Mus musculus: one gene and its partners. The protein of the gene in region 3 binds, or shares a complex with, the protein of the main gene of each other region. Links are inferred from orthologs where the notes say so. Each region holds a gene or a part of one and is shown on either strand. Other genes may lie near its edges. The genes, in order: Sarnp, Thoc3, Chtop, Thoc1 and Thoc7.

Region 1 (5,765 bases), on a different chromosome or scaffold from region 3:
AAAAATAAACCAAATCAAAACGTGGAAGTCATTATCCTGATGTTGATGGAGAAGACTGGCTCTGGCTTTCCCTGCCCCTCAAGGATTGGAATTTAAAAGGTGTGTGCCACCAAACCTAGCTTTTGCCCCTGTCTTAGGAAAAAAGAAGTAAAAGTTTATGTTTTACTTGAAGTCCAATTTCATTAAAAACAGTTTTACTGGGCCTGGTGGATCAGGCCTGTTTGGTTTGTCTCACGACAAGGTTTGTGAGACAGCCTGGCTGTTCTGGGGCTTGCTCTGTAGACAAGGCTGTCCTTGCCTCTGCCTCCTGAGCACTGGTATTTGTTTTTTGAGGCAGGGTCTCTGTAGCCCTGGCTGTTCTGGAATTTAGTATATAGATCAGTCTTGCCTTGAACTCACAGATAACCTCTTGTCTCTGCCTCTCAAATATAGGACTTAAATGTGAGTGCTACCATGTCTGGCAGTGCCCATTCTTTTAATCCCAACACTTAGGAAGCAGAGGCAAGTAGAGTTCAAGGCCATCTGTTCTATATAGGAATTTACAGGCCTGCCAGGGTTATAAGGTGACACCCAGCATTAAAAAGATAAAAAAGGTAGGGGATTGTATAGTAGTGCACACCTGTAATCTCAGCATTAGAGAAGTGGAGGAAGGAGAGTTAGGAGTTTGAAGATAGCTTTGGCTGAATGAAAGGGGCCATGTTTCAGACAACAGCAATAAAAAAAAATGGAGAGTTAGCAAACAGTCTGAATATTCCAAGGCTGATTAGAATCCCTTGTATATCCAAAAGGAAATCTCTTTACATCATCTTACGCCTGAAGTTATGTGTAAATATACTTCTCTATCTTGTTTTAAGTTTTTTTTTCTCCTGAGCCAAAACAAATATTGTAGGACTTCCTTATGGTCAGCAGGGGGCATTCTTTGCTTGCCTGTTAGTCTAAGGACTTCCAACAAAAAGATGGAGGAGAATCAGGTTCCAGAATTGCTTCCTCTGAAAATGTCATTAAACCATTACTACCTTTCAGGGCATCAAATGGGAAAAGTGTTTGGGATATTGGAACAAAAGCTGCCCATGTCTCTAAATAAGGGACCTTAATGAGACTGGTTATGACCCGCAGTTTTATGGGAGTTGTTTGTTGGAGAGTTAATGCCCTTCCATTTATCCTGGGGACTTCCGAACTTTGTCTCCTGCCCCTGCGGTCCCCCTCTTTTGTTTTCTCTTAAGCCTTTTGACCAGTAACTCGCCATGTTTTCCTAATTCAGCCTTTCTTCTCCCACCCACTTCCTGTGGCATTTTTATTTGTTCTGCTTTGACGGTTTCAGCTAGAGCTACAATCCCACGGGAGCAATAGGGACTTATAAAAGAAGGAAATCAGGGCTGGTTCAGCGCTAGTTAAATATTGTGATAAAAATTGAGTTTGTATATAATTGGAGGTTGGAGATACAGTTCTTAGTTCAAAAGTAACTATAAAGTGTCTAAAAGCAAATGAAATGACTTATGTGTGTGTCCCTTCATCCCTGTATTTTTAGCCTGACTTCTTTGCTGATTATGGTCTCGAACTTCAGTTAAAATAACTTAGTTTTATTTTAATTTTTCTTCTCAGTTGATGACAGTTCAAGGAGTCAGACTTGTTATGGACTTCATGTTTCTTTGGATTAAGGGGTGGTAGACACATGTGGGGCAGAGGATATAACTCAGGTGATTCTTGCACATTTCTAATGCTTTGGGTTAAGATAGCAGTTTTCTGACTTTTAAAAATCTGTCTTCTTAGGGCATCGGAAAAGAAGGTGGTAAAGATTACATCTGGGATACCTCAGACTGAAGTAAGTATTCTTTTTTAAATTTTAATTGAGGTGTGGGTGGGGCTGTGAATGCATAAATGCCATGGTATATGTGTGGATAGAGGACTGCCTTCACTTTGTTGAGGTAGAGGTCTCTCCTTTAAAAACATTTTTTAAAATTACATTTTATTTATATATGGGGGAGCCGTGTTTGTGTGCGAGTGCGCTTGTGTAGGTCAGAGGACAACTTGGGGGAATTGGTTTTTCTTCTAGCATGTGCGTTGCAGAGATAAAACTTAGGTTGTCTGGCTTGGCATTAAAGAACATTACTCACTGAACTATCTTGCTGAACTTAGTCAGGACTCTTGTTTCCAGTGCTGTGATGTGTACACCAGGCTAGCTGGCCCATGAGCTTCCAGAAGATGACAACCTCCCATCTTGCCACAGGAAAACTTGGTTTATAGCTGTATACTAGCACATTCTGCCTTTACATGGGCTCCTGTTATCAGACTTGCACAGCCTGCACTTTCAACTACTGAGTTCTCATTTTTATATTTATTTTTTGTTCCTTAGAATAGCAATTTACTTTGTAGCTCAGGTTGGCCCCAAACAAAATCTTTGTACTTCAGCATCTCGGGTGTTAGGATTCTAGGTATGTGCCACCATGCCTGGCTGTTCCTGTTTTTAACCTTTTCTCTGTCATCATCATTATGTAAAATTTTCATTTAGGGCTGTTAAGTTGGCACTCTGGGTAAAGATCTCTGTGGCTAAAGCCTGAGTTTGATCCATGTAAATAATTTATTCATAGACAAATTATTTAAGGGAATTAGGGGAATATTGACAATTGATGTTTCTTTCTCCACCAACTCAGGAAAATATTTGGACTGGCATAGTGAGTTGTTATCTTTAAGCTGTCATAGATTACATATACCACTGTAGCCTTAATAGTAACTTAATAAGTCTATAGGTATAGGATTAGAGTTTGAGAGGATTGTGTGTACTTTGGAAAAATAGCAATGGCAGATACTCCTTTAAGTTGTTAGTTGTTAGCTGGTGAGAGTGAAATTTCTTTGGATTCTATCTCAAGATGTTTGAAATCAGGTTTCATTTGAGATCTTGTGTTCAGTTTTGTACTTTCAAGGTAGAGGGGTTGTTGTTGTTTTTATACAGGGTTTCTCTGTGTAGCTCTGGCTGTTCTGGAACTCACTGTGTAGACCAGGCTGGCCTCGAACTCAGAGATCCACCAGCTTCTGCTTTTTGAATGCTGGGAGTGTACCTCTATGCCTGGCTTATAGTTGAGATTTATTCACTTCTTTTAGAATTCAGGCAGGAAGTGATGGTGGTGGTGGTGGTGGTGGTGGTGTTTTTAGATTACCTGTACTGGAACCAATATGCTCCTTTGATATACTATCCCCCCCCAAGATACACTTTTTCAAACAAGATAGAACTTTTGGGGTTTGTGTAGAATATGGATTTTATTCTTTTTGTTTTTGAGAATGTGAATACGGGGAGAGAGAGAGATTAATTGATTGATTGCTTTCTAGAAACAATTGTTGTGTTAAGCCTTAGAATGGCTGCTACCTGATATGGTCTAAAGTTGTCAGTATTTCCGTTAGATCTTAAGAAATGACCATAACCAATTTTTTTTTTAAACAAGAAATTACAGTTTTAATTTTTTCATTTAATATCACTTAGAGAATGCAGAAGAGGGCTGAACGATTCAATGTACCTGTAAGCCTGGAGAGTAAGAAGGCTGCCCGGGCGGCTAGGTGAGTGCTTCTACCTGTTTGGATACAAGATAGAAATGTTATGGTGGTGTAGGGGGTCAGATCTTTGTTTCTTGTTATAGTTGTTGGTTTTCAGTAGAAGTGTTTTCATTGAACTTAATGAATACAGTTTGGGTCATACTCAGGACATTTCTGCTGATTTGGATGTTATAGCTTTCACTGAGTTTTGCCATCTTTGGTCAGGGTTTTTATGATAGGTAAAAGTCAGGAACTGGCAGCTGCTCCTGAGTCTGAAGAGTTCGTTTAGTGGACTCCTGGACTGTTGGTGAGAAGGAGAGTAAACTGAACCTCTTTCATGGGGTTGTTAGAATTAGCTAATGATTGCAAAGTTTGAGATCACAAGAAAGAAGTGTCATGCACCCTTGACACGGACACAGACAACTAAGGGTGTGAACAGCTTCCTAAAATTTAGCTTGTTTTTTCTTCTTACAGGTTTGGAATTTCTTCAGTTCCAACAAAAGGTGAGAATACAGAGGTTCTTCTGAGAAAGTTTACTTTGGGTTTTTTTCTGACTATAGATTTCATTCCTCCAAATTAGATAACTTTGTTGGCTCTAGAAGCCCTTAAGAGGCTCTGCATTTGTACCCTTCAGACCTCATGAATAATCGAGAGAACGTCCTGAAGTTATGGGGAGGAGATCGCACCATTGGGTTTCTTTTTTAGGACTTCTGAGAAATCTTTAGTACCTTGTTCATTTATTTTTGTGTCTTACTAGCATAAAACTATGTGTACTTTTTTAGTGCTCTGAGCTAACATAGTATTAAAGTGAAGGAGACTGTATTTAACTTCACAATTTTGTTTTTAAGAATTTATCAAGAAGTAACCTCTGATATACTTAAAGACTTAGCCATGAGGCTTGTGTTACCACCATATATATTGATCAGTAAATTGGAAAAAAAAACATGTATCCAATACAGTATTAACTGGTTAAGTGTAAACTGTAGTATATTAGACTATGTAGAATGTTAAAAACGATATGTTAAGGGCTGTGGAGATAGCTCAATGGGTAAAGTGCTTGAAAAGAATTTGATCCCCAGAACTCACATTTAAAAAAAGAAATAAAAAAGCAGGCTATGTAATGCGTGCTTATAATCCTAGTGGTTGGCAGGCAGAGGCGGGTCGGGTACCTGGGCTCTGGCTGGTCGTCCTGACTAATTGGTGAATGTTAGGCTAATGAGAGACCTCTCTCAATAGAACAAAACAAAGTAAACAGATCCTGGGGAACCATACCTGAGGTTGTCCTCTGGTTTCCACATGTACACATAAAATACAGTACTTTAAGATAGGGTATAGCAGTGTGTTCCTGCATTTGGGAGACAAAGGCAAGAGAATGGCCATTTGAAATCCAGCCTCAGCTATATATTAAAAACTATCTCAAAACAAGAGCTAGGATGGTGGTGGTGCACACCTTTAATTCCAGCACTTGGGAGGCAGAGGCAGGCTCAAGGCCAGCCTGGTCTACAGAGTGAGTTCCAGGACAGCCAGGGCTATACAGAGAAACCCTGTCTTGAGGAAGAGGAAAAAAAAAGGGCCTAGTGGCTGGATCTGTACCTCAGTTTATAGTGTTCTTGCCTAGCATGCAAGAGAAATGAACAAAGGATTTGGGGTTCAAGGTCATCCTCCGATGCGCGCATGCTATATTAGTTACTTTGTTATTGACCTGATAAAATACATGACGGAAGGCAACTGGAGTCAGAGAGAATTTATTTTGGCTTATGGTTCCAGAGGGTTGAGAGTTTATGGTGGTGGAGCAGAGGCAGGGCACCAGGCACCAGGCATGGTGGCAGGAACAGAAAGCTGTGAGCTCGTATCTTGAAACATAGGCATGGAGCTCAGAGAGTGAACTGGAGGTAGACTGGGCTTTCTTTTTCTCCAAGCCCACACTCAGTGATACTTCTGTAGTAAGGCCACATTTCTGAACCTCTTAAAACACCAACGACTTGGGCATGCCCAAGATTATGGGGGACATTTTTCATTCAAGCTGATGTTTGTCTCCATTTATGACTTAGCTTCACACAAATGGAAGCATGTGTGTGATCTGTTATCTTTTGTAATTAGCTTTTCACTTAGTGTAAAATTTCACCTTGAACCACAGGGTGACCTCAGACTTGCTGTGCAACGTTTTTTGGCCGGTTCCTCAGATTTACAATCTTCCCAAATGCTAAAATAACAGGCCTGCACCTCCAGGCCTGCTCTGT
Region 2 (6,447 bases), on a different chromosome or scaffold from region 3:
CCTGACAACACAGATGGGAATTGCTCCAAAGAACAATTTCTAAAAAGGTCTATTTCCCCCGTATCCTTTCTTTTCCACTACCTCTAGTGAGTAGTTGGCTAGATGGGAGGTTAAAACATTTAAGAGCCATCATTCAAAGTAAGCTTTGAAAAATGAGAAGCTACTGGTCTCCCAGCAAACGTCACCCTCTCTATCGAAGTGGCGATGGCCATCTGCCCTGCATTACTCACAGGCACAGCAGCGAGCAGAGCCCCATGGCCCTGATTCTTCATTTTACATTTTCATTTACTTATACAAATGCTCACTGAAATTCCACTATTAAGACTGGCACTAGGAAGGCATTAGCAATTCAATGGAAAACAATACAAACACAGTCCTCTCCACCATGAAATTGCTAGTGCAATGAGAAACCGAGATGATGTGCACATTAGAATATAGAATTAAGAAATGCTTCCTCCTGGGGCTGGAGAAACGACTCAGTTAGGAACACTGGCTGCTCTTCCAGAGGACTCGGGTTTGATTCCCAGCAACCATGGCAGCTCACAACCATCTATAATTCTAGTTCCAGGGGACAGGACACCCTCACACGGACATACACGCAGGCAAAACACCAAAGAACACAAATTAAATAAAATAAATAAATCATTTAAAAAGAAGAAGGGGGCTGGAGAGATGGCTCTGTGGTTAAAAGCACTGGATGCACCTCCAGAGGACCAGAGTTCGATTCCCAGCAACCACATGGCAGCTCACAGCTGTATCTAACTCCAGGTTCAGGAGACCTGACACTCCAGTCAGCAAGCACACAAATGGTGCATAGACATACATGGCAGGCAAAACACCCATACACATAAAATTTAAAAAAAAAAAAGAAATAGGAAGGGCATTAAGATACACTAAAACCCTCTAATCTTGGAGAGGAGAGGATAAAGTGACTTTGCTAGAGGGAAAGTGATATTTAAGCTGAAACTTTTAGAGAGAGAATTAGCCACAATTCAAGGTGCATCAAAGTATCCTGGGCTGGCTGACTAATAATTGAATGTTTACAAGCCTCAGTTCCCTCAGGATCAACAGAAAAATGTATAATCAGTATCAGTAAGAATTCATAAAATCCAGAATGCCTAAAAGAAGGTAGGATTTTTTTCTTTAATACTCTCTCTATCTTTCAAGTCTTTTGGGACAGGCTCACAGTTAACTCCTCCCTGCAAGGCAGGGTGGCCATTGCAGAGGTCTGACAACCCCGGCCAGTGCCTCACCTGAGGATGTTGATGCAACCATTGCCGTTGGTCAGGAAGAACATGTTGTTGTCGTTGTTCCATGAGATCTCATTGACCTCAAACTTGAACTGCTCCTCCGCTTTGGAGCGGTGTGTCTTGGCGTCAATGAAAGTCACAACGTCGTCCTTGTTGCCCACAGCGATGGTCTGCCCGTCGGGACTCCAACAGATGTTAATGTTCTCCCCTGGGAACCCAGATATAATCCGTCAGCAAGCTCACCTTTGCCCATCGGCCTCCAGAGTTTATTCTGCTCTCCTGGAAAGAAGATCAGAGCTACCTTCAGCACTTATTCCTCACCAAATCAATGGAAGGAAGCTTCCGATGACCAAGAGGCGACCGTGAGTCTAGACATTTGTCAAAGCACCTCCCCACTCCAACCCCTGGCACCAGTCTCATCAAAGTCACGCGTGTCCACACTGAACACAGGTTAAAATTTTCAACTTCATTAAACCTTTTTTCAAAACACCTTTTTTTTTTTTTTTTTGTACTTTACTGTCTATAGTGCAGTTAAAAATCTATCAGAAGGTGTATCAAGAATTCTATTGTGGGAGCTTGGTGGTGATGATACATGCCTTTAAACCCAGCACATGGGAGGCAAAGGCAGGTGGATCTCTCAGTTCATGAGTCTAGCCTAGTCTACACCGTGAGTTCTAGGATAGCCAGGGCTACACAAAGAAACCCTGTCTCCCCCTCAAAAATATATGTGTACATATATATGTATATATATGTATGTGTGTGTGTATACACACACACACACATTTTCTCCCCTGTGGGGCTAGAAATGGCTCAGTGGTTAAGAACACTTGGGTTTTTTTCCCTGGAGACCCAAGTTCAATTCCCTGTACCCACAATTCACAATCACCTATAACTACATTTATAGAGGACAAGACGCCTTCTTCCAGCACCTATACACATGTGGTACGTGTACGTACACACGTACACACACACACACACACACACACAGATGAAAATTAAAAAAAAAATCTAAAATCAACAAAACTGCCTGCCTTACTTTGGGTTTTACTGCTGTGAAGAGACACCATGACCGAGGCAACTCTTATAAAGAACAACATTTAATTGGAGCTGGCTTACAGGTTCAGAGGTTCAGTCAAGTATCATCAAGGTGGGACCATGGTAGCATTCAACCAGACATGGAGCAGGAGGAGCTAAGAGTTCTACGTCTTAATCCAAAGGCATACAGAAGAATGGCTTCCAGGTAAGCCAGGATAAGGGTCTTAAAGCCCACACCCACAGTGACACGCTTCCTCCAACAAGGCCACACCTAATAGTGCCATGCCCTGGGCCAAGCCTACTCAAACTACCACACTGCTTCTTTGAACACAGCCTTTAAACAAAACGCACAACTTTCCAGATCGCCCATGGTTTCTCAGCCATTGTAACCTGCCTGAATCTCCCAAACTCTCCACGCCTCTGCACATACTACTCTTGTATAGTTTCCACTGCTCTCCTATACATCTACAGCCTGCCAGAAAAGTGCTCTGTTCTGTTCCTGTCTTCTCCAGACAGACACATACAACCCATCCTGATAACCTGCACTTGCTACAAAGATGCTTGCTGCAGATCACACTAGCTTTTCCTCCAGAACCCCCTCTCTCTGAACTCACCTTTCGTATTCACAGTGGCGATGCATTTTGTAGTCCTCACATCCCAGATGCGAATGGTTTTATCTCCAGATGCGGTGACAAAGAGGTCAGGGTTGCTTGGGTGCCAACAAAGCTGGTCCACACTATCTCCGTGGCCCCGGTAGTTGTTTTCTTTGACCTTAAAAGAACAGAATCCAGATGCCACTTTTATCCAAACAGTGGTGCCTTGAAACCAGCAAAGATCTGGATAATTCAAAACAGAAATCTAATTCTTTTTCCAAAACTACAACACCCCCTCCCCCCCCCCCCCATGAACCTCTCTGAGCTTTGACATTGGCCCTTCCTGGCCTCCCTTCTTTCTTTTTCCACCACCACCTCAACCAACCTGTCCTGCGCTATCATTTTCAAATAAAGCCTTCCTCTCCACCCTAGGGGCTCTACCACCCCATTAGTCCCTAGCCACTCGTCACCAGGGCTCTTCTAGACCCTCACCACTTTCTGCCACCTGACTTCAACCTCCCCCGGCCCGCAGCCACGTCGCCACACCTCTTTACTGCCACTAAGTTCGCTCTCTGCTCTCCGCCAGGCAGCCTCACCCCCTTCGTCATTCCAACTCTTCCAGCCCCAAACCCCTTCCTCATCACCGCCAACGACAGGCCATACCCCTACCTCTCCTGCTTTTTCTCCCTCCGCACACAGCCCTCTTCTCCGCCAAGCCCGTGCCCTACAAGCTCACCAGCCGGTCCTTCTCCAGCAAGAACACGCTGGCAGTCTTGTCGAAGGACCCCGAGGCCAAGCGACGGCCATCGCAGCTCCAGGCGACCGAGTGCACCTTAGCACTGTGCGCCGGGAATTCGCGCGTCTTGCTGTGGCCTCGGAAGAGCTCCTGCATCCCGAGCACGTAACGAGACGGGCCACTGCTCACTGAGCACCAGGGCGCCATCGAGCCGGGGCCGCTCTGGCCGAGGGCCGAGGGGCCCAGGACCGCAGCGGGCGCCGCCATGCCTCCCTCCTCACGGACCGCGCGCCGGAAGCTGGATACTCTGAGTCTGGCGCCGTCGCCCTGCACATGCGCCGAAAAAGCGCCGCGTCGCTCCGCGCTGGCGCCTCTCACTCGCGGAACTACAAATCCCGCCATGCAGCGCGCGTCCACCTTTCCCTTTTGAAATAGGACTGATTCTTCCTTAAATTCGCTTTTTTTTGTTTGGTTTGTTTTGTTTTGTTTTGTTTTCGAGACAGGGTTTCTTTGTTTGTTTCCTGGCTGTCCTGGAACTCACTCTAGACCAGGCTGGCCTCTAACTCAGAAAACTGCCTGTCTCTGCCTCCCAAGTGCTGGGATTAAAGGCGTGTGCCACCACTGCCCGACTTGCTTCCCTCCCCCTCCCCACCCCCCACCAAGAGTTCAACTTTTTTTTTAAATGGTCTTCTTACCAGTTTCTTGGTAGCCTTGCTTATTCAAAAAAGAGAGTCAAGATAAATCCTCCAGTTTACCTGCATGTAAAATATCTTTTTTCTAGAGTTGTTTTTCACTGTAAGGTCCTCATCGTGCCCTTAAAGCAAAAGGCCATTGCAAGTTGTCGCTCCTGGAGAAAGGTTAGATGTTTGTGGAATGAAGGAATTGATAAGAAATGTGGGTTTGAGCCGGGCGTGGTGGCGCACGCCTTTAATCCCACCACTCGGGAGGCAGAGGCAGGCGGATTTCTGAGTTCGAGGCCAGCCTGGTCTACAACGTGAGCTCCAGGACAGCCAGGGCTATACAGAGAAACCCTGTCTCGAAAAACCAAAAAAAAAAAAAAAAAAAAAAAAAAAAGAAAAAAAAAAGAAAAAAGAAATGTGGGTTTGTCGGTTGGACTTGGGAAAAGTTGTTCGGTTAATTTGAGATTTGGTTTGTTCGGGGGTTTTGTTTTTGTTTTTAGTTTTTGAAGACAGGGCTTCTCAGTGTATCCCTGACTGCCCTGGAACTCACTCTACAGACCAGGCTGGCCTCGAACACACAGACATCCGCCTGCCTCTGCCTCCCAAGACGTTTTTCTGTCTTTTGATCTTGGTTGTTAAAGGATATTGTATATACATGATAGTAAACTAAAAGAAAATAGCGGAAAGTACAATGACCATTTTGTGTGCCATGCTCACATCTCTGATCCTCCCACTTATGTCTCTGTTAAACCAAAAGATACCCGGGTGGAAAAAAACAATGGTGCACAGCCAGGATTCGCCAAGCACTGGAGAAGAACTGTGCAGGGATAGGGGACACCAGAGGAATATATCCAACAAATATTCGTGTGAAAATGTCCTTATGAAGCCAGCTGTGGTGTCGCAGGCTTATAACCCCATCACTGGGGAGACAGGGACAGGCAGATCCCTAGGACTCACTGGCTAGCTGTCTAACTTCCTTGGCAAGTCCCGGGCTAATGAGTGACCCTTTCTCAAAACAGAACAAGGGATGGTGCCTCAGAACCACCTCCGTGTTGTCCTCTGGCCCCCACATACACACGTGTACTCACACATGCATATCCATGAAATCATTTTAAATGGGTCTATCCCTGAATACCGTGTTCTGTACTCTGTCTGGGACTGGAATTCCTGTGTATTTTCCCTACATATTCTCTTCTGTTACTTTCAGTAATAGCTATCTCCCTACCTGAATATAATTTCTTGAAATCTGTCATTCCATTGTTTTTATGACCCAGCAGTCTTGGCCCCCTCCACTGGTATTTTGCACATAGTAGGCACCCAATATTTACTAAATAAAATGTGAGAAAATGAAAGAAAGAAATCCTTATATAACAGTACCCTACACAATGAATATTCACAAGAAAAAATATAATTTTTGATGGGGAAGGGGGGTTTACGACAAGATTTCTCTGTGTATTCCTGGCTGTCCAGGAACTTCCTCTGTAGACCAGGTTGGCCTTGAACTCTGAGGTCCATGTGCCTCTGCTTCCCAAGTGCTAGGATTAAAAGAGTGCTCCACCATGCCTAGCTAATAGTATCTTTAATTTTTTTTTTTTAAGGAAAATAGAATCGATAGAGAGATGGCTCTCTGTTTAAGAGCACTTGCTGTCCTAGCAGAGGATTGCTGTTCCCTCCCCAGGCACCCACAAAGTGGCCCACAACTCTTGGTAACTCTGGTTCCAGGAGATCTAGCGCCTTCTTCTGGCGTCCCAGGCCCCATGCAAAAATCCTCCTTCACATAAAAATTTAAGGAAAAAAAAAAAAAGGAAAAGGAAAAAAAAATGTGTGACCTTGCAAAGACGCTGCAGGGTTTATGGGATGATGCAGCCTTCCTTACATAATTTGCTGTCTTTCATAAATATATATAGACTTCTAGTTGGGGATTGATTTTTGTTCTTTTCTTTTTTTTCCTTGAGAAGGGGTCTTGCACAATAGCTCAGTTGGAGAAGTATAATAGTTTAATTCAGTTGCTTCCTTAATGAATTATTGCAATGAATATCCCTATACAATCTTCATTATGCACTGTGCACTTTCTTTGGGTAGTGTTATAAAACAATTAAAGAGGAGTTTCTAAGAATCTGCAACCATCCATATAAGGAAATATAGATCCTAAA
Region 3 (5,765 bases):
GTGGAATTTACAGAATTTTTAAAAAGTGTAAGGAAAGGAATGTTGACATTTTTGTGTTTATTTGCATCTTAAGGTTTTAAAAAAGGACCGTCTGGAGATAGATACTCAAAGGAAAACCTCAACACACTGGCCTCTTTAACTGAGAAGTCAATCTTGTCCTTTGAGTCTCAAGAATTCAAGTGAACTTGTAATTTAAGTTTACCCAGAATGTGACGCACTTCCTATGGTGTGTGAGTAAGCCTTTGCAAACAGTGTAGTCCATAGGCAGATATGGGTAAAGTCACATCATTGTTAACCTATGGCTCAGAAGCAGCGAGTTTGCAGCTACTGCTGTATTATTTGAATAGCCAAATTAGTAAGGTTATCTGTGCTGGCTCTGCTGTTGTAGACGATATTAAAGCTTCTTAGAGCCTTTATTCTGGCTCAGGATTCTGCTTTTATCCATGTTCTGAGGAAAAGTCTTTGATTTGGGATCCTTACGTTACCCACAACAGGTTTATACCTTCCACCCCGAGTGTCTGACTTGCCTCTTTTTGTCCTGTACTTTAAATTGCCAAATCCCATGGAATTGCTTTGTTGATCTCAATCCTCTTAACACCTTTTCTTTCAGAAGAGCTTAAAGCAGCGCCTGGGTAAGAGTAATATCCAGGCACGGTTAGGCCGACCCATAGGTGCCCTGGCCAGGGGAGCAATTGGAGGAAGAGGCCTACCCATAATCCAGAGAGGCTTGCCCCGAGGAGGACTACGTGGGGGACGTGCTACCAGAACCCTGCTTAGGGGTGGGATGTCGCTCCGAGGTCAGTGTGTCTGTGTAGCTAATAATGGTTGGGCTCTATCCTCCTCCCCTTTTTCTTGGACTGCTTACCGACACATTTGTTTAGCATTTTTAATCCTGAATTTGTATTAATATAATTAATAGCTTTGAAATCATATTTTTAGTACTGCTGCATGTGTTTTACCAATATCATTTCTTTTCTAATGATGTGTAATGGTGAGAGGCTATGACCTGCATAACAACAGGTAATTCATGTCATCTCCATTCCATTTTAAAACACCTGCTGCTGCTTGAATGAAAGCATATTCAAGTTCTAGAAATACATCTAAGAAATGTATGGTTAGCATGTGCGAGGCCCTGGGTTGAATATCCTCAATACCAAGAGAGAAAATATGAGTCTTTTGGCCTGTGTCATGACTAACTGTCTGTCTTCTTGAAGTGAAAAACTATTAATCTGACAGGGGAAAGAGAGGGGACAGTTTGATCCATAGTGCCTACGTATCTGTATCATACCCTTGGGACACTGTTCCCTTTATAAAATTCTTGCCCCCTTAAAAAATGTATTGAAAGCAAGAATCATAGCATTTATTTTCAAATCTACCGTAATGCTAGGCATCTGATTGTTAATTTACTAAACATATGAACTTACTTAAGTCCCAGCTTTTTCCAAAGATAGCTTGTCAGAATTACTAAATTGAATAAAGAGCTGTTTAACCTGTTCACACACGCACTGTGCAGTTTGTCCCACCTAGACTAAAAATTAACTAATTATTCTTATTTAACCCTCACCGCCTTCCTTTGGTTACAATCTACATTGTCTCTCTTGGATTTACCTGCATATACATTGTATGCCTCCTCTCCAAGGTCAAAACCTGCTCCGAGGTGGACGAGCCGTAGCTCCCCGAATGGGCTTAAGAAGAGGTGGTGTTCGAGGTCGTGGAGGTCCTGGGAGAGGGGGCCTAGGGCGTGGAGCTATGGGTCGTGGCGGAATCGGTGGTAGAGGTTAGTCAGCTACCAACTTCAGAGAATAGCTCCCCTTACTTTCCTCCCTTCAAAACTCAGAGCCAACTTTCTGCACAGCTTCAAGTCATAGGCAGGCTTGTTTGTTTGTCTTGTTTGTTTTTTGAAACTGGCTTATTTTCTAAATTCACACAGTGATAAGGAAAGCTCTGTCAGGATTAACAGGTACATTTTCTAGAGCCACATTTCAGGCATTCTTCTACAGGCTCTCAGAAATGTAAGTTGTTGTTATTAAAATGATGCAGTGATTAGTTTGGAATTGTCCCCTTTTTCTGTATCTGCCTGTTGCCACCACCATCACCACCATTACACACCCATCCCATAGCCCAAAGCCAGTTTAACTTTAATAAGAGAAGTGGAATGGAAATAAAGTACAGTATACAGCTCTTACCTAGCATTTGTGAGATCCTGGGTTCAGTCCCACACCATAGAAACAAAAATAAGAGGGAGATATAGGAAAGTGAGGCAAAGATAAAGGAGAATGGTCAGAAGCAGAGGATGTAGCTCAGTGGTACAGCACATGCTTAGCATGCATGAGACTAGATTCAGTCCAGCAGCACTATTAGGTGGTGGGATGAGACCTGGCACCTGTTGTTGGCTTTAAAATCAAGTAAATTTAACATAGCATTTGTGTTTGAGGAACCAAAGACAGTTTTCCTGATCAAGGTTGAAAGTAAGATGTGTTACAACCAGTTGGTCAGCTGTTAGTAATCTTACTTTTGATGCCTTGATTCTTGTCCTGTGACCTCATGGACCAGATTAGAAAAGAGTTTAATGATGGTGGTGTTAGTAACTAATTTCATGGGAGCTTTCTGGCTTATAACTGAGTAAGAAACTCCCAATACATGTTGATAGCATGAAGCATCTTACTCTAGTAAGCACTGTGGATATTTGTTTTCGTTCTTTCTAAAATGTGGGGCAGGTATTCATAATCCACAGTCTTGAAGGTGCTGAATAACAACTTAGGAAATGATATTTGATAACAAAGGTTTATTTTTCCTGCTATTATGTCACTTGACTTATCGAATGAAGTACAAGGTTGAGTTTCAGGATAAGGCTTCCAGATTGTATTGACATCGTTTCTGAGAGAGACTTCACAGGTTAGAAAAAAACTAAATAAAGTCAATTTTGAGAAAGTTAAGTATTTGATTAGTGAATTGAAATTACTTCTCAGATAATAGTTGTCTTAAGGTAACCAGTCAGAGAAGTAGCTAAGTTTTTTCAATCATTGGATACATGGGATCACTTCATTAAACTTAATAAACTTATAAAGCAAATGTGATAACAATCCAGAAAGGTCTCAGTTAAAGCTTAATATGAATACCCTTGATTTTGGGGGGGGGGTGCCCTTTTACTACCTCCTAACTATATGTAATATGTTTTAAATTATGAATTTACAGTAAGTCCCAAACTTTAGATAATTCTTTGGTCTTGGGGGAGGTTAATGTTGTTTAATATTTTTCAGCTAATATTATACACTTGTAATCCCAGCAACTGGGAGGGTCTTGTTTTGTTTTTGAGACTGGGTCTCCTGTAGCCCTGACTGGCCTTGAACTTCTGATCCTTCTGTTTTTGCCTCCCAGATACTAGGATTACAGGTATGCATTTGTGGGGCTAAGGATTGAACCCAGAGCTTCGTGCATACTAGACAAGTACCCTACCAACTGAGCTATACTCCAGCCCAGGAGTGCAAGTCTAAGGCTAGCTGGTCTGCATGGTATGACCCTGTCTCAAAGTGGGAGGGGGCAGGATTTTTTTTCTTATAGTGGCATTTAGAGATGAATACTTAAGAGGACTCATTGTGTGTGCTTTTCATGTGCTGCTTTCTGCCCAGTGTGTTTCTTGTTTTTTCAGATCTCTCCTCTTTGCCCTGTCTTTGAGCTTGTCTCAGCTAGGCCCCACAACTATAAAGGGGCATTTTTTTTTTTAGGACCCATCAAACTAATGTGTAACTGTCTTTTTCTTCTCTCTCTTTCTCTCGTTTGGCCAGGTCGGGGTATGATAGGTCGGGGAAGAGGGGGCTTTGGAGGCAGAGGCCGAGGTCGTGGCCGAGGGAGAGGTGCCCTCACTCGCCCTGTATTGACCAAGGAGCAGCTGGACAACCAATTGGATGCATACATGTCGAAAACTAAAGGACACCTGGATGCTGAATTGGATGCCTACATGGCACAGACAGATCCTGAAACCAATGATTGAAGCCTGCCTGCCTGCCCGCCTGCCTGTTAGACTCTTGTTAAAGTCACCACATCTATAAAACAACCTTGAGAAAACATGAGAAGAAATCTGATCGATGCTGGAAGGACCTGTCACAATAGGCTGTGGACTTACCTGCCACCAGTTGGTGCATTTAGTCTGTTCTGTCTACTTTTTGATACTGTGTTATATGAAACCCTATTTTCCTTTAAATTTGGTTGAGTTTGTTTTGTTGTTTATCCAGTCACCCAGATATCTGTTTGAACAGGAATGCGTTGGCCTTGTGAGTAGAACAGTTTTCTAGCCTCTGCCTGTCATATACTCTTGACATTTTTAAATATTTCCTCTGTTGATTTTTATGATCCCAGAAGGAGCTAGAGTTTTCACTATTGGGTGGTCTTTGGGATAGAGTTCTACATCTTTCTTTAAAAGCTTCTTGTTAATAGCTGGAGCTAAAGGTGTGTTTGCTATGTTGATAGTGAAGGTAGTAAATTGGAAATGTTGGTATTGCTACTGGGCCACAGAATGGGTAACACGTGGTACCAACTTTGATTTGGTCAAAGTTGATGTTGCCTACATTGAAACCACATAGATGGTAGCTGACAAGCTAAGTTGGAATTTCCACCCTAAGAAAAGATTTTTAAGCTTATAAATCTCTCCTTTTGGCTTTCTGTCTCATGCCCAAGAGGCTTCTGCACCTCTCACAGAGAAGAAGCAGCTGTTGGTGTAGCACAAGTGGCAGAAGAGACAAGAGTGGGAAACTGGTAACAAACTGACTGCTGGGAAGGGCTCATGTGCTGCTCGTGCTGAAGTGCAGTTACCTTCCACTTAACTGGCTTTATTTGACCCTCTTGAAGGTTTAAGTTCAACCATATTTTGTCAGCTGTTCAGTTTCAGTGGAATCTTGTATTTCTGATTCATTATAACAAATTGTTCTCTCAAAATTTAACCCAGGCTTTCTGTTTATTTGGGGGGGTCTTAAAATGCTATATAACCATTTTTGTGGTGTGTTAATATGTCCCTTGTATAGTTGAAAATTCCTGGGGTGGAGCCAGGTAAGAGGGTGGTACAAACCATCTGCCACTTGGGAAGCAGAGACAGGTGGGTTCTAAGCCAGCTTGATCTCAGAATTAGTTACAGTTTAGCCAGGGCTACACCAGCCCTGTCTCAAAAAAAAAAAAAGATATTAGGGGTAGAGGAAATGTTGCTTTGTGGTAGAAAAAGCTTGTGTTCCCCTTTAAGCCTTTAGGAAGAATTACCTGCCTAGAAAGTACTAGTAGACTGGACCGTGGTTGTTTAGGAGAAAAGATCACAGGCCTCTTACTGTGCTGTGCATTAAGAGCCAGGAAGAAAATACTGAACAAGATCACCTGACTTTTGAATCCTTACTTGATTGAGGTGGGGAATCTCTGGGACTCAAGGAAGATGGACTCTGGAGTATAGGAAGCTGGTGCTTAAGGGTAGATCTCAGCAAAAGAAAGTGATGACTCTAGACCCTCTTTCTACCTACCTATTAGTACTTTGTAAAAAAGTTCAATTCCCCTACCAGCCCTAAGCCCGTGAGCTTCAGATCCACCTGCTCTGTGTAGTTGTCAGGGTTTCCACCTTTGCTGTCATCTCCTGGTAACGCCTCAGGTGGACCAGGGAGCAAACCTGACTCCTGATCAGCCTCTGAAGCCTACTTGGTTGCCATCTTCCGAGGACTTGCCTTCCAGACCAGCCTGGGTCTTACAGTGTCACAGAAGTGCATTCGGAGAACAGAAGATTTGACCAGCTA
Region 4 (5,667 bases), on a different chromosome or scaffold from region 3:
AAGAGAAGCATCAGGAGACAAGAACAGTGGAAACCAGAAAGCTTGTTTGTTTCTGCTAGGGGTTTTCCCGAGAAACAAGAACATGTCATGCAGCTGACATTTCTAGTACCAGCAGCAATTGGGAACCCAAGGCTAAAATTGTCAGCTAGGAAATCCTAGGCTGGTGGTAAACTCTCTGAAGGTCAGACCTTCAGATGGAGCTATTAACAGGAAAAAGCCTAAAAAATATCCAGCTGGGCGTGGTAGCGCACGCCTTTAATCCCAGCACTAGGGAGGCAAAGGCAGGCGGACTTCTGAGTAGGAGGCCAGCCTGGTCTACAAAGTGAGTTCCAGGACAGTCAGAGCTACACAAAGAAACCCTGTCTCGAAAACAACAACAACAAAAAACAAAACAAACAAACAAAAAAACCCATCCAAATTTACTGTCAAGGGAACAATCTACCATGAGTTTCATAAAGAATCTAGAGAGAGATGGCTCAGTGGTTAATAATGCTGGCTATTCTTCCAGAGGACCCAAGTTCTATTCCTAGCACTCCTTCTCTCCAGTCCTAGGGGATCCAACACCCTCTTCTGGCTTCCATGGGCACCAAGGACACACACAAGTGGTACACAGATGGACATGAAGACAAAATACTCATACTCATAAATTAGTAGATAAAACTAGAATCAGATAAAGGCTGTAAAATAAAGAAGTAGCAGTTAAAACAAGAAAAACTTAGCACTGTCAAAAAGGACCAGATAGTTGGGTATGGTGGCTCGTTACTGTAATCCCATCAGCTGGGAGACGTAAGAGACAATACAACACAAAGCTGAGCAAAAGCCCAGCAGAGAGAGCACACGAATGTGAAAGAAGCTCTTCTTAAGATCAGGACTAAATAGGCTTAATTCGTAAATTCTTTGGCTTAAGATATCTGGGCTTTAGCATTAAATAGATAAGCCAGACCTGTCTATGTGAAAAATGAAGGGTGAGTGAAAAGAGAAAACAAAAGTAAAATTAAACTAACAGCAGACTTCAATAACAAAATCAGAAGACAGGAATAAGAGCCTCAAAGAGTTGTAAAGACAGAGTATGTAATCTCTAAAATAAATGAGGAGTGCAAAGGTACATAGGGAGGGAGGGAGGGAGTGGGGAGGAAGGGAGGAAGGAGAGAGGGGAGAAAGGAAGGAAGGAAAAGAAGAAAGAGAGAGGAAGGAAGGAAGAAGGTAGGAAGGAAGGAAAAGAAAAAGAGAGAGAGAGAGAGAAAGGACCAAAGGTACACAGAGAATTAAATTCAAATGAACAAAAATCAGGCATTCTGGTGTGAAGAAAGATTGATAGGTATTTTAAATTTTTACCTACATATTGATTATAAAACACCATAAAGACAAAGATATGACCATGTTGAAACTAAAAGAATAAAGGTATGATAGGCAGAGCTTATCAGATCAGACAGAAGTCTTCAAAAATGAATAGTACAGTCTATCACAGTGCATGGTTTGATGAAATATGGAGTGAATCGTTTTTAGACCTATACCTTCTTTATTGTCCCATTTTAGAATTGAGCTTTCAGTCTTTATGTTCTCAAAGAGATCTAGAGTCCCTGCATTTAGGTCTTAGATGTAATTATCACATGTGGATGCTGTTAAAATTAATATTGCCACCATTTTAGAGTACTACACATAAACCTCACTGTTTACTTTACAATGACCAGAGAATACATGCCAACTTTGGAGGAGTTCTTTGAAGAAGCTATTGAACAAGCAGATCCTGAAAACATGGTTGAAAGTGAATATAAGTAAGTAATGGTATACTGAAATGATGCTAATTTCAGCATGTTTTCTTGGGAATCCTCTGAATGCTACAGTTAAGTCAGCAAAGTAGTGCTTTTAGATGAGTTTATGCATGCAGTTCACATTACTATAACATCCTTATTTCCATGTCAATTCCAAAACATGACAGAATAACCCCTCAGCCCTCACCCCATACCTCCTTCTGACCTTCACCTCTACTGTTTATTCTCCACAAGTCTTTTCTGCTAGCCAATTTAGGTTTTGACCTCGTTTCCTCACCAGCCTCCCATTCTGGTCAGCCCACCCACTTGAGACTGTGTTCCCTATCACTCCAGTATTCTTTTTTTTTTAAGGTCCCAACAGCATCTGTCAATAGACCTGTCTCAATTTTGGTGGAACCACTCACCATCACCTTGCTGCCCCCTCCACCTGCCTCCACACCTGCTGTCTTACTCTAAATTCCTGCAGTAACTTTTAAGATTCAGTCTTTTCTCTAAAGTGTCCCATGTGACAGCAGTTTTAGTTTTTAGGAAGCTGTTCTGGAATTGTGATTTAAAGGCAGGGGCCCTCTTGTCAAAATGCATAGGTTCTCTTCCCGTGTACCACTACTGGCCAGGCTCTAACAAATAAGCCCTGTGCCACTTTTCTCGTTTGCTACATGGTAACCACTCATTTCACATTCTGAAGATTAAATAACTGATTTTGATCCATGCATAGCATGTAGTTAGTACATGACATAGCTAGCTTTGACCCTGTGGTAAGTTTTTACATACTCCAACCTCTTAATTTTGTGTTCTATTCTCCTTGCACCAGAGTGATCTTTATGGGCTGGAGAAATGACTCAGGTTAAGAACACTAACTGCTCTTCCAGAAGATCCAGGTTTCATCCCCAGCACCCACATGGTGGCTAACCATCCAGTTCCAGAGGATGTAATGTGCTCTTCTGGCCTTCTTTAGCACTGCATGCATATGACACAGTCATGCAGGCAAAACAATACACAATTGAATTTTTTTTTTAATTTTATTTATTTCTTATTAGATATTTTCTTTATATACATTTCAAATGCTTTCCCTATATCCCCTTCTCCCCTGCCCTGCTCCCCTACCCACCCGCTCCCACTTCTTGGCCCTGGCATTCCCCTGTACTGGGGAATATAAAGTTTGCAATGCAAAGGGGCCTCTCTTCCCAGTGATGGCCGACTAGTAATCTAAAATAGATATACACACCTTTAATCCCAGTGCCGGTGATTTCTTTGCCTGGTCTATACAGTAAGAACCTGCCTAAGCCGGTGATGGCGCACGACTTTAATCCCAGCACTTGGGAGGCAGAGGCAGGTGGATTTCTGAGTTCGAGGTCAGCCTGGTCTACAAAGTGAGTTCCAGGACAGCCAGAACTGTACAGAGACACTCTGTCTCAAAAAAAAACAAACAAAACAAAAAGAACCTGCCTAAAATAAATACACATGTGCATGCATGCACAGCAGCAGGCTTGGTTAGCACAGACCTTATAATCCTAGCACCCAGGAAGCTGAAGATTAAGTTTGAGGTTAGTGTGGCTTACAAAGTCTATCAGTATAATAATAACAAAGTAAGATATGCCCAAGTCTCATCTCATGCTTAAAATCTTTCTCATACTTAAAGTTAACTGTTTATACACCACTAAATAAATCAGATTGCAAGTCTGTATTTGGGGTTCCCGAGGTGGGCAAATCCTAAAAAGTCCTAAGTGGAATCCATTTGTACTTGCTGCAGTTCTGTCATTGGTGGTGGTGGGAGTGGGGTGTTTAAGATTTCTCATGGGTCCCTTGTTTCTCGGTTTCCCATTCTATTCTTGACATCAGTATGTCATTACTGCGGCCACTGGATATTTACTGCTTTAGCATTCTGAGCCATTTTTTAATTCATTGAGGTTGATGTTAATATGAATTAAAGATTAGCCATTATATAATACAACTCTTAAATACAGGTCCCTATTACAAAATACTTGAAGCCCTAAGTGTTCTTTTTCCAGATTTGTAACATTTTAGACTTTAGCAAGTAAGACAAATTAGATTTTGAAACATTTAGGCTTTAGATTAAACACGCATCTATAGGTAACATTACAGATAATGGATACAATTATCTTTTTCTTTTCTTTATAACTGGGTGGTTTCTATGCATAGTGTCTAGTAGCCAGGACTAGGGACATAAGACCATTGACTTGCTAAAATAAAGCAAAATATATACTTTCAAATTATAAGATGGTATACTTTGAGCTGTTATTTGCAAGAGAGCATAAAATTTTGTGACACTTGTTACATGAAAATAACTATGGAACTGAGTAACTATAAATTACAAGGCTGACATCTCTTCTTATAGAGCCGTAAATAATTCAAATTATGGATGGAGAGCTCTTAGACTCTTAGCCCGGAGAAGCCCTCACTTCTTTCAGCCAACCAACCAGCAGTTTAAGAGTCTACCAGAGTATCTGGAAAACATGGTGATAAAGCTGGCCAAGGAACTACCAGTAAGTGATGCACTTCATTGTTCCCGTTACCCTAGTAGACATGATCTGCTTTAAAACTATTATTATTTGAGCAGAATTCACTTTAGCTTTTCTCACAAAAATAGTAATCTGCAGACCATCATGTTTTAGAATGGGGGTGAGGATGTTGTTGAATATATTTACAGAGAAAATGTAAAACTAAGAGTAAGAGATACTGGTAATTTTCTGTGCAGCATGCAATTTACCCAAAGTGTTAAAATTACTATCTTCAGTAAACTAGATCAGATTTTCCACATTGCCAATGTGTTTTACTGTCTTTTGTCAAAAGCAGGGTCTAAGAGTGGCAGTAGCTCACCTGGCAGAGCCCCTTCTACTCTGCTCTCTTCCACTGTTGTAACAGTATGGTAATGATGGGCATTATCAGTTTTCTGTCGCCCCTTAGACAGTACTGCCTAAAGCTTAGGTATTTGCAAACCTGCCTATGCTTCTCAATCTTCTTTCTACCCAAAGTCGTACACCTTAGCTATCTTCAGAAACTGGTGTCCTTTTAAACATCACTGTTCTTCATTTACTATAGCCCCCTTCTGAAGAAATAAAGACAGGTGAGGATGAAGACGAGGAAGATAATGATGCTTTACTAAAGGAAAATGAAAGTAAGAACTGAATTTTCTTGGCTTTTTTACAAAATTGGAAAAGGCTGGGGGATCTTTGTTGAGCTAATTTGATCTACTTCTCAGTTCTACCATTTTATCTCTATCTTTTGACTTAAAATATGAAATTTAAAACACTAGTCACTTAAAACACATTTTATAGATGAAATGTGGAAATGATAATTTTAAGAGGTAAAGAAGAAAGGTGTTTTACAGCAGAGCTTAAACTCTAACTAGTGGGAATTGGAGCATCTCCTCTACAAGAAAGTGTTTCTAATTAAAATAGCTTTGAGTGTATACGCCTATGGAAAATTTTCAAGTTTTAAAGTAAAGTTTTAGGGGACTAGTAACCCAGTGGTCATTTCAGCTTTGCAGTTATTTCAGATACTTTAATTGCACATCTCTATATTTTCTAGGTCCAGATGTTCGGCGAGATAAACCTATAACAGGGGAGCAGATAGAGTCATTTGCCAACAAACTTGGTGAGCAGTGGAAGATTTTGGCTCCTTACCTGGAAATTAAAGACTCTGATATTAGGCAGATTGAGTGTGACAGTGAAGACATGAAGATGAGAGCCAAGCAGCTCCTTGTTGCCTGGCAAGATCAAGAAGGAGTTCATGCAACAACTGATAACCTGATTAGTGCACTAAACAAGTCTGGATTAAGTGACCTTGCAGAAAGTCTAACTAATGACACTGAAACAAACAGTTAGCTTTCTTCCTTTCTTTTCTTTTTTATTAAACAGTGATAAGATTTTGTTAC
Region 5 (6,348 bases), on a different chromosome or scaffold from region 3:
CACAGCATGAGAAACCCTAGCTATGACACAAAAAAAATAGGCCAAACCATTGGTTCTCTCATCAGTCTTTATATTTTCAGGAGGGAAATGTTAAATAAATACACTAACTTCCTTAACTAATATCTCATGTTCTTAAAAAGAAGGAACTAGTGACTGCAGTAAACAGTTAAAACTAACGTCTGCATGTTCAAGTCAGTCCTCCAGTAGCTTAAAACACACTCCATCACCATTCTGTGTTTCTGCCTCTCAAGATCCATGCTCCCACCCCCAAAAAAGAAAAAGAAGAAGCCTGAGTACAGCAGAGGGCTTGAGTCCACCCCACTTTAACATCAGCCACAGCTTAGCAAATAAAAACATCATTTCTATAAAGTTCATTGCAAGGTGTTCTCTCAACACACATCATATAATAAACACATATCATATAATCAACACATATCATATAATCAACACATATCATATAATAAACAGAATTCTCAGGTGTTCAACTTATACATTCTTGTCTATGCAATAATAAATTCAATTATACGGCTTTAAGAAAACTCCAAAGACTTCCAAAGGCTCAGACATATCCTACTACTTGGTCTCCCATTACCTGAGCCAATAATCTTCAGGAATGTTCAATTTCAAATATACTCCAAGTCTTTTTTAAAAAAAATTTTAGCCCTGCCTAAGAAAACTGTGAGCAACCAAAGAAACTTATGAAAGGGGTCTGTGACAACCTGACATGCTATCTCACAGAAGCTTATAGAAGGCAGTGCTAGTTTCCCATGAAAACATTAACAATTATTTGCTGTCATTACATAACTGTTTCCAAGTCAGCAAGATGCTGATAAAATCAAGAAATGCTCTTACAAAGTATCCTTTCACTACTTGGCAGTTTTCTTGTAAACAAGAAGTCTCCCTAGCAAAGTCTTACCCAGAACACAGAAATGATCAGGTGATGTTCCATTTACAGTGTTTAGAGGTACTTACGAATTAATTGGATTTGGTTTGGTTAGGTTAGGTTTGGTTTGGGATTCTGTTGTTTGGTGCTTGTGGGGGTGGGGGGGCGGGCCGGGGAAGGAGGTCGGTGTGCCTATGTAGCCCAGCTGGCCAAAAATTCAATGTTCAGACCCAGATTAGCTTCAATTCACAAACCTGCCAGCCCAGATAGGCTACCACACACCACCCCGCTGAATTTAAGATTAATATTACCCTCCTTCCTACGCCAAGGAAATGAACATGGTCCAAAGTCCAAGTTAGGAGGAGCCTTTAGACCAGTACTCTTTCAAAAAGTCAGCGAGCAGTTCCACATTTGGAAGAGGTCATTTATGCTTCAAAATCTTCATTCAGGGTAATTTCTGCCTTTGTGACAAAAGTAGATACTGTATTTGACCCATACATAGTTCTGCCTAGAGGTTAAAAACCACCTCCCTTGAATGATCCCAAGTCTTCCGCTAGAAAGAACTGAGGGAACACAGGGCCGATGCATGGATCCCACTTAAGAAATCTCAACAACCAAAAAATGACCCCACACCATTGCCTTATGCAGGATCTGAAGGTTCAAGGGATTGGGATCATGAAAACTGATAAACAAAAACCTGGGTTATAAAGTCAAACTCTACCCTGTTGGAGGTCAAATCAACTCTCAACAGGAACATGGTTCCACTAGGAGAACATTCCTCAATGTTGAATCAAAATGATTTTTTGTTTTGTTTTGTTTTGTTTTGTTTTTTTGTTTTGTTTTGTTTTGTTTTTTGTTTTTCGAGACAGGGTTTCTCTGTGTAGCCCTGGCTGTCCTGGAACTCACTTTGTAGACCAGACTGGCCTCGACTGCCTGCCTCTGCCTTCCAAGTGCTGGGACTAAAGGCGAGCGCATTCACTGCCCGACTCCCCCCCCCCCCCCGGGAGGGGGGTGGTTTATTTCATTTTTCAGAAGAGATGACACTATAACCTGCAGTGTGTTCTAGAAATGTGTACTCCGCACCCCCAAGTAATGTGTTTGCAATGAGCAGCACCCCCACCCCCAACACCTACTTTCAACTTCCCTTTAAGAAGCAGTTTTTGAAAAGCAAAGTTAGTATGAAAATGAAGGCACCCCATCTGGATTCCAGCAGCGAGGGAGAACTGGATGAGAGGTGAGAACCGGAGGGACCTGAGCCCTGGGTCCTGAGTGACGCTCCCCAGACAGGTGACCAAGTTTCTTTCCCCCGCTTCGCCAGCACCCGCCAGAGCTCAGGAAGGGAGGATGGCTTGCCGCGCCCGCCTCAAGAATACGGGTTCGAGACCCACGGCGGCAGTGGCCGCGCCCCCGTCCCACCGGAGCGCACGGTCGGGGCAGCCCGGGACAGAGGTCACCTGGAGCGTCAGGCGCGGAGCCCCGCGAGCGCGCGCAGCCCGAAGCTCACCTGGCGGCTGGCCGCGGCCTCCAGGGCGGCCTGTGGGCGCGGGCAGGGCGGGACGGCGGTGTCCCCGGGCCCAGCCGCCGCCGCCCGCCCTCCCGCCGCCCGTCTCGCCCTTCACCCGCCGGCCGCTCCGCGCCCCAGGAGAGCGGCGAGCGCGGGTCCGCGGCGGCGCGGCGCGCGCGCCGGCGCGACTCAAAAGTCGGAGAGGGCGGCGGGCGCCGCCGCCTCCTCCTCCATGACTGTTTACCCGGCTGCATTGTGGGAGTTTGACCTTCGCCGCCAACCGCCGCCTCAGCTCGGCCGCCGCCGCCGCCGCGCACGCCATGGGAGCCGTGACTGACGGTGAGGCCTCGGCGGGTGCGGGGACGCGGGGCAGCGCCGGGATCCGGGCCGTCTGGGGTGGGGGGCTCCCGGGGCGGTGCGCGGCGGGGAGAGGCGCAGGGCGGCTCGCTCGGCCCGGGCGATGCAGTGCCCCGAGGGGGCCGCCTGGGGGGCTTCCCGGGCCGGGCTGGGTCGGGCCCACGGGCAGCGCGGCGGGCCCCAGGGAGCGCAGGAGCTCGGAGGGCGGTGGAGTGAGGACCCCGAGCTGGGGACGGCGGCTAAGAGGAACAGGGGTGTCTGGAGGGCCGGTCGGGAAGTGTATCTGGGCGACTTACAAGGTAAGGCGCCAGCATGGGAAGAGGCCGGCGGCTTGGACCGCGGCAACAAAAGGAAGGCATGTTGGAGCGGGTGAGTTGTTGGCCTGAGTGGATTAGGAGTGATGGATGGTGGACAGTAGATGTCTGTGGGCTGAGAGCAGAAATAAGAGCGCGTTTGGGAGAAGGATGGACTGACACGATAGGCAACTGGAGCAGGAACTGAGAAGGTACCCGCTTTGGTAGAAAGGTTCCGGTGGCTTGATGTTGTTTGATGGGCTGATCAATAGCTATGGATCCCAGTGGAGAAACAGGGGACTTCCAGAAATGAACAACGATCGGCCCAAATTTGAGGACGGGCCGAGGAAATACCGATGTGGGTATAAATAAAGGCCTCGGAACTTGGTAGGGGGGATTTTAACCTTGGTTTTGTTTTTTTTTAATTCGAGTTTAATTTATTCAGGAAGTACTTAGCTTACTTCTAGGCAATACTTTACTGAACACGTTTGATACCCAGAAGCAGCAGGTAAAGGTGTTTCCTCTTATACGTCTGCAGTGGCTGTAAACATTAAAAATTGGTAGGGTGGCTGTGTGTGTGTGTGTGTGTGTGTGTGTGCGCGCGCGCGCGCCTGCCTGCCTCTCTTTGAGCTGTCTCTGCCTCCCTCCCTCCCCCAGGCAGGCCACCCTACTAGAGTGGCAGTCAGAGGACACTTGCTGAAGTCACTTCTTCACTTCCACCAGATGGGTCCTGGGAATTGAACTGAGGTGGTCTTTCTACTGGTGATTAGAAAACTTGACAAATTTGCTTTCCCCCTTCCTTTGAAGGGTAAATAGGTGTTTTAAAACTGGAATTACAAGTGACCAACCACTTGCCAAAATGATGAAAGAAATTCAAGATGGCATATAGAACTTAGAAAACTTTACACCATGAAATTTCCAAGATCAGGAAAAGCCAGTGAAAGGGTTTTTGTTGTTATTTGGTTTGGTTTTGAGACAAGGTCTTGCCAGGCAGTGGTGGTGCACACCTTTAATCCCAGTACTAGGGATGCAGAGGCAGGCGGATTTCTGAGTTCTAGGCCAGCCTACACAGAGAAACCCTGTTTCAAAAAAACAAAAAGAAAGAAAAAAAAAAGATAGAAAAAAAGAGACAAGGTCTTTCTATGTAGCTCTAGCTGTCCTGGAACTCACAGAGATTCCCCCTGCTTCTGCCTCCTGGGTGCTGGGACAAAAGGCACATGTCACAGCGTCCAGTCATTGAAAGTTTTAAACTGTTACTGTGATGTGATCACATTTGCTTTTATTTAATTAACTGACGCCTTTGTTTGCAATGCTGAGAGTAGAACCCATAGTCCTGTTCATTAGAAAACTGTTTTACATCCTGATCCAAATCTTCAGCACCAGATGTGCGTTTACAATTCACAGACCCATTCTACTCTTTGGAGAATATTGAGGAAATGGGAAGGGGGTTGCAGACATCACTCTCTCTTTCACTAACATTTATATAATATTTTGCAGCATGTGTTGCACAGTGTTCTAGTTATCCCCATTTTATAGATGAATCCAGTACCCAAAGGAATTAAATAACAGAGTTTCAGTGAGTTAAAAACCAACAGAGTCTAGAAGAGTATTCAGTCCTGTGGGGCTGAAGAAGGTGCAGGTAGTAGTGAACTGGTATGTAGGTACTGGGATTGAGCTCAGTCCCCGTGGGAGAACAGCCGGATGCTCTTAACTGCTGAGGCCGATTTCAGCCCAGCTAGCGTGGTCTGATTTTAGCCCCTTCTGTAGTGGGTTAGTGGAAGGTAAGGGGGTCTTTGATCAATATGACAAAACTCCAACTGAGGGAATTCAAAAAGTGAACAGAACTCATAGAGAATGTCAGGACTGCTCAGATGCGGGAGCTCAGAGGTTATCTTAGGTTTCTGACTTGGACGATTCTGTGCCTTGCTCCAAAAGAGGACTGGATTCTGCTGGTGAGAGAAGGAAACTTGAGCCCCTAGTCCTTGGAGGCCAGAGGAAGCCCCACTTTACATTTACAAGCTTCTCCCCTTTGTGGAGGTTACCCAGCTTCTTTGAGACTCAATTTTCTGCATTGATGAAGAAACAATAAAAGCTACCTTGGAGTGGTGTTTTGAAAATGAAATGTAGTAAAAGTTATAAAGGACTTTGTACTGAATCAAATACATACTAAAGTTTAGTAAATATTCCTAAACACAGAAGTTGTTTGCTAACCTCTTTCCACTTCTCTATGTAACCTCTTTCCACTTCTCTATGGAGAAGTGTGTCTCTATTAAGTGCCCCTTCCTTTGCTTTGGGGGAAGAAAATTGAACTGCAGTCAGTTTTAAATAAGCCATCAGCAAATATGAGGTGCAAGGTTCAGGGGAAGGTTAGAGGGAGAGATGCTGGAACATAGATATCAGTAACATGTGTGTCACTATGTGTATATGCATGTTACTAGGGGTTGAACCAAGAGCCCTTTGCATGCTAAGCAAGTAATCTACCACTGAGCTAAGCCACATCCCCAGCACTGGGCATCATAGGTGAGAAAATGGAATGGACTGATAAAGAGCCAGTCAAATTCTACCTCCTCTGAGGTGTATGTCCTTCTAACTAGACACCTCAGTGTGCTGAATGGGTGCTAATTCTACACCAAAAGTGCAAGGCTTCCCATTCTCAGAATTCACTCACATCTTGTGTACAAATTGCTCACACCTTTTGTACGAGTAATTGTTGCTGTGATAATGAAAATAAGTGCTAGTCTTTGTTAGTGTTTAATTGAGTTGATCTTAATTTAATTGATCTTTAGAAGACCTCTGTAGGCATCAAACCCAATTACAAAATAGTGCAGTCAGTCTGGGTGTGGTGACTCACGCCTCCTATCCCAGCACTCCAGACGTAAAGGCTGAATGGTGTCTGTGAGTTCAAGGGCCACCAAGACGACACAGAGAGACTCTGGTCAGTCAGTCATGGTACCTCAGCCCTGTAACAGCCATTAGGAGACTAAGGCAGAGCCAGGATAGTCCGAGCTACCAGAGGAGGTTAAGTTGGTTGGGGCTATTGATTTGGTTTATTTGACTTGTGCACATTTTGCAAAACCTTTATAAATAGTAATACTACATTCTTATGTAATGATGCACAGAACTTAAAGTGTACAGCTGGCATGGTCACAAAGCATAGTTTAAATATTTTTAGTTACCAGACTTAATATTGGAGGTATTTAGTCCCTCTCTGTTTCCTTCTGCATTTATGTTTGACATCCCAGGTGGGTGATGAGAACTGGACTCGGGTCCTCAGGAAGAGCAGTGAGCATTCTTAACCACTGAACTGTCTC

What was found.
Region 1: Chtop (region 3) and Sarnp share a complex: the UniProt entries of both Homo sapiens proteins name them as parts of the transcription/export (TREX) complex. The link is inferred for Mus musculus from reciprocal best matches to the Homo sapiens genes CHTOP and SARNP.
Region 2: Chtop (region 3) and Thoc3 share a complex: the UniProt entries of both Homo sapiens proteins name them as parts of the transcription/export (TREX) complex. The link is inferred for Mus musculus from reciprocal best matches to the Homo sapiens genes CHTOP and THOC3.
Region 4: Chtop (region 3) and Thoc1 share a complex: the UniProt entries of both Homo sapiens proteins name them as parts of the transcription/export (TREX) complex. The link is inferred for Mus musculus from reciprocal best matches to the Homo sapiens genes CHTOP and THOC1.
Region 5: Chtop (region 3) and Thoc7 share a complex: the UniProt entries of both Homo sapiens proteins name them as parts of the transcription/export (TREX) complex. The link is inferred for Mus musculus from reciprocal best matches to the Homo sapiens genes CHTOP and THOC7.

The regions. Positions count from the first base shown.
Region 1 is NC_000076.6:128,844,762-128,850,526, forward strand, and holds part of Sarnp (SAP domain-containing ribonucleoprotein), read left to right. Parts: intron 1-1,770; coding exon 1,771-1,822; intron 1,823-3,475; coding exon 3,476-3,549; intron 3,550-3,999; coding exon 4,000-4,028; intron 4,029-5,765. UniProt on the Homo sapiens protein: Binds both single-stranded and double-stranded DNA with higher affinity for the single-stranded form. Specifically binds to scaffold/matrix attachment region DNA. Also binds single-stranded RNA. Enhances RNA unwinding activity of DDX39A.
Region 2 is NC_000079.6:54,464,927-54,471,373, forward strand, and holds the start of Thoc3 (THO complex subunit 3), read right to left. Parts: upstream 3,915-6,447; 5' UTR 3,882-3,914; coding exon 3,615-3,881; intron 3,057-3,614; coding exon 2,900-3,056; intron 1,459-2,899; coding exon 1,254-1,458; intron 1-1,253. UniProt on the Homo sapiens protein: Component of the THO subcomplex of the TREX complex which is thought to couple mRNA transcription, processing and nuclear export, and which specifically associates with spliced mRNA and not with unspliced pre-mRNA.
Region 3 is NC_000069.6:90,498,128-90,503,892, reverse strand, and holds the end of Chtop (chromatin target of PRMT1 protein), read left to right. Parts: intron 1-610; coding exon 611-797; intron 798-1,639; coding exon 1,640-1,777; intron 1,778-3,378; exon of another isoform or gene 3,379-3,512; intron 3,513-3,785; coding exon 3,786-3,991; 3' UTR 3,992-5,354; downstream 5,355-5,765. UniProt on the Homo sapiens protein: Plays an important role in the ligand-dependent activation of estrogen receptor target genes. May play a role in the silencing of fetal globin genes.
Region 4 is NC_000084.6:9,988,000-9,993,666, forward strand, and holds part of Thoc1 (THO complex subunit 1), read left to right. Parts: intron 1-1,691; coding exon 1,692-1,775; intron 1,776-4,128; coding exon 4,129-4,276; intron 4,277-4,832; coding exon 4,833-4,908; intron 4,909-5,321; coding exon 5,322-5,617; 3' UTR 5,618-5,667. UniProt on the Homo sapiens protein: Component of the THO subcomplex of the TREX complex which is thought to couple mRNA transcription, processing and nuclear export, and which specifically associates with spliced mRNA and not with unspliced pre-mRNA.
Region 5 is NC_000080.6:13,957,563-13,963,910, reverse strand, and holds the start of Thoc7 (THO complex subunit 7 homolog), read left to right. Parts: upstream 1-2,707; coding exon 2,708-2,726; exon of another isoform or gene 2,727-2,847; coding exon of another isoform or gene 2,848-3,043; intron 3,044-3,694; exon of another isoform or gene 3,695-3,845; intron 3,846-6,279; exon of another isoform or gene 6,280-6,348. UniProt on the Homo sapiens protein: Component of the THO subcomplex of the TREX complex which is thought to couple mRNA transcription, processing and nuclear export, and which specifically associates with spliced mRNA and not with unspliced pre-mRNA.